2 linked regions of the Coturnix japonica genome follow. The protein of the gene in region 1 purifies or fractionates together with the protein of each later gene. This does not show direct contact. Links are inferred from orthologs where the notes say so. Each region holds a gene or a part of one and is shown in the gene's direction. Other genes may lie near its edges.

The links. The genes of interacting proteins can lie anywhere in the genome.
Region 2: the proteins of XIAP (region 1) and SIVA1 purify together in Homo sapiens (affinity purification with western blotting; 3 studies listed by BioGRID). This does not show direct contact. The link is inferred for Coturnix japonica from reciprocal best matches to the Homo sapiens genes XIAP and SIVA1.

Annotation. Positions count from the first base shown.
Region 1 is NC_029519.1:14,642,494-14,646,880, reverse strand, and holds the start of XIAP (E3 ubiquitin-protein ligase XIAP), read left to right. Parts: upstream 1-1,542; 5' UTR 1,543-1,650; intron 1,651-4,387.
Region 2 is NC_029520.1:46,911,521-46,915,203, forward strand, and holds SIVA1 (apoptosis regulatory protein Siva), read left to right. Parts: upstream 1-1,342; 5' UTR 1,343-1,730; coding exon 1,731-1,848; intron 1,849-1,924; coding exon 1,925-2,116; intron 2,117-2,201; coding exon 2,202-2,358; intron 2,359-2,907; coding exon 2,908-2,965; 3' UTR 2,966-3,145; downstream 3,146-3,683. UniProt on the Homo sapiens protein: Induces CD27-mediated apoptosis. Inhibits BCL2L1 isoform Bcl-x(L) anti-apoptotic activity. Inhibits activation of NF-kappa-B and promotes T-cell receptor-mediated apoptosis.

The DNA of each region.
Region 1 (4,387 bases):
ATAAATACAGCAAGCAGGAATATTTCTCTACATTGAGTTCAACTTGACAAAGATATTGCCTGTGATTTTCTGCTCGAAGTTTAATTACCTCCTTTGGCTCAATTACCAGAACTCTGCCTATAGTGAAAGGTGCTTCAAAGTAATACAATTCATTTTACTGTTGAGTCACCAAAGATGTCGTTAGTTTTGGCTTGCAGTACAACTTACTGATTCAGAATTTTATGTTAAACTGAACTTTAAATTGGTTGAACAGAAGAACAAGAACTGGCTTGTGTAGAAGGTAAAACATTTTATAAGCATTACTCTTCTTATTGTCATCATTTTTCTTGTTTGTGATGTTTTCTTATGTTTTGGTTGCTCTGTGTGTTGGGTCTAGAAGTTTTGGGTTTTGTTTGATCAGGATGTTTGATTTAGACATCAAAACCCAGAAGAGGGTCACTGTAAAAACACCTTGTGGTATTAAAAAAAATGATTTGCCTCGTTTGGAAAAGCATCAAAACCTCAACAAAGCGATGGCATTTGTTAAAATCATTGCTAATGAATGCATTAGTAATGTGGGATGGTGAGGATTTATAAGATTAAATATTCACATTCATCCTGCTCTGTTAAGGTGCTAACCTCTCACCGTGTCATAATACGTCTGAGATCTTTAAGTAAATAACTGTGCTTTGCTATGGTGTGAACTGAGTGTGGACTGATAGGAATCTTTACTAGCGAAACACAGCTATTTCTCGGGATATTGAAATCAGTACAATTATCATCTTGGGTTTAAATTCTTAAATAATATTTCTGTCATGTGATCCAGAACGATAGTCTGCATTTTCAGTACAGCCAGTTTTCTCATTTAGAAACGACTTTGTTTTGACTCTGTACAGATACACTGGAGGTTTCAGATCAGGTGAAATGCCAACCTGCAGAGATGTCAGCCCACACATTGCTGACTCGGGACTGGAAAAACTCGTTGTTCTCATGAGAGGAGGGAGGAATAAAGGCAAGAAGACAAGTTCTGCGCCAAGTTAGCAAGCGGCGTTGCTGGCAGCTCTCATCTTCAGGGGGTACCTCAGAGAGCAGCACATGGCGGATGTGTGCTGCCAGGGAGGTTGTGGATGCCCCGTCCTTGGAGGTGTTCAAGGCCAGGTTGGACGGGGCCCTGGGCAACCTGATCTAGTAAATGTGTATGTTTGGTGGCCCTGCCAGGCAGGGGGTTGGAACTACATGATCCTTGAGGTCCCTTCCAACCCGGGTCATTCTGTGATTCTGTGGCGGATGACTTCTCACGGTGGCCTTTGTGCAGACCATGGATTCTGTGGGGAACAACCACTCCCTCACACCATCTTTCAGCGGCCCTTGAGCACCACGCCTGGCCGGTACCCAGCGGGAAGTGCTGGCGAGCGGGTTGGGGGCTCTTCGGCCGCTCCACTCCACGAGGAGCGGGCAGGAAGACCAGCAGCCGCTGAGGGGTGATGCGCTGCCCGCCCGCCGCCACTGGGTGCCGCCGTCTGACAGCGGGCCCCGCACTGCCGCGCTCCCCCGGCCCTGTGTGGGGCGCTGCTGCCGAGCGGTGCGGAGCCGAGAGGCTGCCGGGAGCCGCCATTTTCTCAGCCGGAGCGATTCCCGCAGCCGGGGCCGGTGAGGAGGATACGCGGCGCGGTGAGTTGTCAGGCGGGCGCGGCGCACTCGGGTCGGCGGGCGGACTCCCCGCGCGGGGTAGGGCCGCTCCTTTCCAGCCCTGGTTCTGCTCGGGGCCCACCCGCCCCATGTGCTCGAGGGTCGCCGAGCCGGGAGGCGTTGCCACAGGAACGGGCGCGCCCCCTCCGCTGCAGAGGTGTCCGCTCGTGGTTTCACAGCCTGGGCTTTGTGGTATCCACTGAAGTGTCTGCTGCCTGGAGTTGTGATCTCGTGTGTAGGACAGTGTTCGGATGGAGCAGAGTCGTTCAGCTCTTCCTCCTGTGCTGCTGCCCGCACTGGAGCTGTGCTGTGTGTTACGTTAGGGATGAGGTGTGGTGGTGTTTGCTTCACTTACACCAAAAGAAAAAAAACATTTTGCTGATGGATGCTTCCAAATCCTTTCTTAACTAATAGCTTGATGCAGTTAAATATACACTGAATTATTCACCTCGTCTCTTGAAATAACTGCGTAAGATGAACTTTAAGAAAGCAAGTTTTCATCTGGGGATGAAAAGTTTTGTTGAATAAGTCTATATTTTGATATATTTTTTTTGTTTCCTTAAGTGCTTCCTTTTGCTGTCCTGTAGTTTTATTTAGGACCCATAAGAGGACACACGAGTGATTCAGTCCTTTTGGAAGTTGGGCACCCACGCTGTTGGCCAAGAAGGGCAAAGAAATGAGTTAATGACAGCTCTGTGCTTCCTCTGACCTTGCTCCTTGTAACCAGCAGCAAAAGTGAAAGAACTCTGATGTGGGTGTGGTGGGGTTTTTTTCTGCTTCAAGTGATACGAGGCAGACTTGCTTCTGTTATCAGAACAGTTAGAAAATGCGTGTTCCTATCAAAGCCTTTGGAATGTGAAGGTGGATTTTGTTGCAGGCTTCTGTGTGCCCACGATAGTGATGGTGCACCTGTTGCTGTACTGCCAGGCTGGGCGAGGCAGCCAAAGGGAGTTGAAGTGTTGCAGAATATCCAGTTCATAAGTCAATGAAGAGCTCCCTGTGAAGGAAAGGATGTATTTATTTATTTGTTTGTTTATTGCCTAAAGATTGGTGCCAGAACACATGAAACTTGTATCTGCTTTAGTTAATCTGCTGCTAACCTTGGTTGGTGGCAGGATACCAAGGGGAAAGCCATTGTAGATACCCTTTCATTCTTATTTTCCATCAGGAGTTAATGGATGTAGTCTCTTGCAGCTTATTTTTCATAGCAAGAGGTCCATCATGAGATGTTCTATTCAAAAGGCTCTGAACACAACTATAGGAAGCCAGGCTCTAGAAATAGATTTCTGAACCTAAGGGGAAGAAAATTTTAGTTGTGCAGATAGGCTGAAGGTATGTGAAAGTGGAAGAAGGCGTGTTGCACAGCCTGATTTGGGTTGTCCTTCAGGACTAGAAATGCTATTGTTTTAATTGGTGCTGCTTCTTAACAGCTCAGACTGTATCACAGAATGTTTTACTTTTTGCCTTTTCTATGCTTGGTTAGTTATCGGGTGGATACCAGCAATAAGATATTTGACCCCCTTATACGTTGCTGTGTCTTTGAGTAGACGAAGAAGGGACAGCAATTGATTTCATAAGGAGAGATTTTGCACATCTAGTTTTAGGAACGTTTCCTATTTTAGAAATGGAAACTGTAATACTGTGTGCACAACTGAAAATTGTTACCAGAGAACCTGGGTGCTTCCCATGTTAATTTTGGACTTGATGACTATCCAAAATCTTCTTTACTAGAGTGCAGGTTCTATTTTAAAGCTTGCTTAGTGGAATCTAATCAATGTTGGAATTGAGAAGCCATCCTCAGTGAGCAATGTCACTTATGTAATATAGAACGTAAAATGAAGCTGGTCTTGAAGTTTGCTGTCCTTCCCCTTCTGTGTTCTGAACGTTTTCTTATTAAACAGTAAGGCAGCATTTGGTGCTGAGTGCTGTCTGCAGGTGCAATTTTCACGTTTCACTTTTGTGTTAGAATTAGTCCTCGAGTCATCCCAACTTGATAAAAAACTTCAAGTATAGAGGATAATTCAAGAGATTCCAAGCACACAGCTGTGTGTATGCACACCAATTTGGGTGTGTATGATTTCAGCCCATCGATGAATGACAAAGCATTCATGCTAGTGATACTGGGCTGAGGTGCCATTTAGCCCAGATGGATTTGCTGTGTGAGCAGCCCAGCTGGGCAGAGGTCATGGGCTCCCTGTGCTGCCCTGCTGCTGCAGTTTCTTCCTTTATAATCGCAAGGATCTGGCAGTTTTGCTGTGGCATTAATCACTTTACTGCAACTGGAGTCCAGTCTCATTATGTCCCCTTGAAGAGAGCTTGTCTCTTTCTGTCTTTTCACTCATCTATAGGCATAAATGTTTTCTAGCTGAACAGTAAAAGCATGTGATGCTGCAAGCTGGAGCACAGCTCATACTTGAGAAGGGAGGAGTATCCATGGTCACTGCAGGTTTTGCCAGGTGTTTTTTATCACTGCCCATTTTGTTCACATATTCCCATTGACTGCCTTTTTTTTTTCTTCCTAACCAAGAAGAGCAGTAACTCCGTTGTATTCCTGCAGTGATACACTTTATAGTCACTGATTGATACTTTTGATGGATACTTTGTTCCCCTGTTTTAACTCTGTGGAGGGTTGGATCTGTATAGCTTGCTTCTCAGTTTATTGAAGTTGCTTTGTTGTAGCTTAGGTACATATATCTGTTTCTATCTGAGCTGTTAGGAT
Region 2 (3,683 bases), on another chromosome or scaffold:
TTATATATAAACTCAGATAGAATGATCTTTCATTGGTAGCTGGAGTGTCTGAAGCAGTTTGATTGAACTCCATGTGACACTAACATTGCTCAAGGCAGAAGGAAAAAAAACCAGCAACAACCAAGTAAGTATCTCTGCTGAAATTACCCAGTGGGAAAACACTCTGTTTAGTTGCTGGTCCATCTGTTGTATGTCAGCTGGAGAGCAGAGTCTTTAGGCTGAGAGGGAGGAAAGAATGTGGGTAGGGTGTTAAAAACAGGAAGAAAGGCAAGATTGACATTGACATCTTGCCTTTCTAGTGCTGCAATTAATACATTGCTTCCTTATTCATACTCACTTCTAGTAGTTCATGTGGGGTCAAGCCGTAGCCCACTCCTTGTACCTCATGGAAGTTCGTTCTTATCCAGACAACAAGTCTGTGGAAAAGAAAGGCAGGGAACAACTGGCAGAAATTCCTTTCTGCTGCTTTTACTCCTGTGTGGGCCTGAACTCTTGTTTGTCAAAAGTGAAGTATTGTCCATGTGGATATCAGTCATTGTGAGGTATTAAAACCTGCAGAGTAGTTCCAAGACTTTGCCATTTAATCTACGTATTCTCACAAGAGATTAATTGTTGAAGCACCTTTGTGCGTTATTAATATCTGTTCATTTCTGCAGCTGTGTTTGCATTCAATATTGGCTCATCAGCTCTGAGACTGTCCAGGAGATGGGGAAAGATAAAAACAAGGGGACACAAACTGTTTATAACCTCCTTTAATGCATCAGGTTTTGGCCAGCAGCAGGAGGTAGTACACACTTTAACACTGTGCATGAATGTCTTTGGCAAGGAGATGCCTTTTCCAGGATAAAGCACTCATGTATTTGAATGTTTTCGAAGTGTTGAGATACTGTAGTCCTCATTTGGCAGGCACATATAATAACATCTATTAGTTGGCACCCTGGGTGGTAGGCCTAGTACTGAACATCACTTTTATAGCCTATATCACAACACTAGTGCAGGCTGCTCAGCAGAGAGCACAGAGATACAATGAGTGCCTTGGTGTCTCTCCCATAGAGATCCAGGCTGAGGAGCAGAATAGCACTTTCTGAACACAGAGTTCTTGGAACGATCACTTCGAATTAAATGAACAACGCTGTTTACAGTCCTGAGAGTGCCCTCTAGTGTAAGTGGGACCTTCGAGGATTCTGATCTATAGAGCAGAGCTGTTGTGTCTCTTACGAGAACCACGTCGTGCTAACTTAAGTGAAGGCACTGGCTGCTGTGCCAGGGTGGCAAACCCTTGTTTCAGCATTAATCCTGCACCTTGCTGGCTTATCATACAAGTTTTGGTGCCTGAAACAACTCATCAAGATGAGGCCATGAACTCAGTTACTAGTCATAGGAACATGACGTGGAGCTGTGTGCTGGCACTCATAGCAGTAATATATAATAGCACCTTTGATATGAGGTGTACACATGTTGTTGAGGAGTAAAGGCCGCAGGTTGGCTGTACGTGCAAAAAAGCCCAACGTGGCGGTGTGTCAGACGGGAACATCCCACCAACGACTCTCCATATCCCGGCATTTCGGCCGCATTACGGAGCCTGCGAGCACCGAAGCTCCGCCTCAGCGCTCGGTCGGAGCCACCCGCCGCCCCTCATCGCTTCCCGCCCCGCTGCTCCATTGGTGCCCGTGGCGGTGACGCGGTCGCTGCGCCGTCGCAGCCGGTTCCCGGTGCCTTTGGCGGAGGCGATGCCGAAGCGCTCGTGTCCCTTCGGGGACGCGGCCCCGCTGCAGCTGAAGACCCGCGTGGGGCTGAAGGAGCTGAGCCGCGGGGTGCGGGGCGACGAGTATCGCCGGGAGATCTACGGTGAGACGGGGAGGGGAGGAAAGGGCGGGTGAAGGGCCGCGGCCGCCCGTAACCCGCCTCTCGTGTCCGCCGGCAGAGCGCACCCGGCGGCTGCTGTTCAGGGCCGCTCAGAGCTGCACGGAGCCCGCCTGGCCCGCAGCGCCACGAGCCGCCAGCCGCTCCACGGAGCCGGAGTCGGGAGGGGGAAGCGTGGGACGGAGCCGGAGCGAGCAGCTGAGGATCGGGCCCAACGGGAAACTGCTGCGATGCACGGCCAACACGGAGAGCGGTGAGATGCGGTACCAAGCGGAGCTGACCAGCTCCTGCTGTTCTCTCTGTTTTCCTAGTTTCTTGATTGTATCTTTTCTAAGCAGTTCCTCCGGTGGGAGTTTCCAAAGCTTGCTCCTCATGTGTAAGAGCTGCTGATGTGAAGGAAGCGTGTGCACAGTGCGACCGGTTCGTGTGCCAGAGCTGCAGCAGGGTGTGCAGCTGCTGTAATGCCGTGACCTGCTCCCTGTGCTCCATCACTGAGTAAGTGCCTTTGGACTTCTTGGATTCTTGTCACTCCGTGCACCCTGACGACCTGCTGTAGTTTATGAAGCCTCAGCAGTCATCTAACTCATACATCCAATTGACTGAAACTCCTTGGATATTGAATTAGGAGCAATAAAACTGCGTGAAACGTGGGAAATGAAATGCCTGTGTGAAGCAGCTTAATCGATCTTAATGAAAGCCTAGTTCAGCTTTTCATTTATGTGCTCAAGGTGGCAATTATTCCTCTTGCTATTTCAACAGCAGTGTCCTATTCTGGCCAGTGACGAACAAATGCACTCCCAAGGAGTGACGTTAAGAGCTCCATGTTGTCATTAAGGGTGCTGTGATATAAAGAAGGTGTTGTGCTCGGAGTCATATGGAGGGTTATTAGAGTTAGGGTACTATGGTTGGGCTGCGGTTGGACTTGATGATCTTCAAGGTCTTTTCCAACCTGGGTAATTCTATGATTCTATGATTTGTGTTCCAAGAAAGGTGAATGCACTCTGACTTCTTGTTTTTCTTTCTTCTTTTTTCCCCCCCCTCCAGCTACGCTGATGTTGGTGAGCAAATTCTCTGCAATGGCTGTTCAATATTTCAAGTCTGAAAGCAGATGAAATAGCCTTTAGTGCTAAACTGCCTGTAAATTCCATGAAGGCTCCTCCTTACAGCTGGCCAGTTAATGCCTTTAACCCCTGAACCAATGATGGGATTTCTATGTTTTATATCTTTATATTGTACTTTTTAATATTGTAGTTAAATAAACTTTTATATTTTGAGGATTTCTGCGTTGTTTTGAGTTAGCTCTTGCTTTGCTCACGTTTGTGACACGTTTGGAATGGGCTGCTTTGTGCTCTTACCTGCTATTCCTTGTGCCACACAGAAGTCAGTCTCTCTCATTGCTCATATCAAGACACTCTTTGTGTGGATCGGAATAGAAATGGCGTGTTCCTTATGTGCTTCCAGGTGAGTGTAATCTATCCTGAACACAAAACATGCAGTGAACTAGTTAAGAGTAGTCAGCCATGCCTGAACTGACCTGCTCAGGACTGGCCTATGCATAGTTTGTGTGCTACGTTTGCTAGTCAGGAGATACCAAGAAACAGCATCACTGTAGGAATGTTTTAAGCCTGCTGGATTTGTGATGTACAGGTGATGCAGCCCAGTGTTGGCCCCCTGGTTTGGGAGGTGTGAATGTACCTGAGGCCTTTGGGTTAAAGGCTTGGACAACACTTTTCTCTCAGCTGTCCCGAAGTTGTTTTGTGTTACGTCCACACGGTGGCAGCATTAGCAAGAGCAGAGCCAGCATGATCGCCATAGCGCAT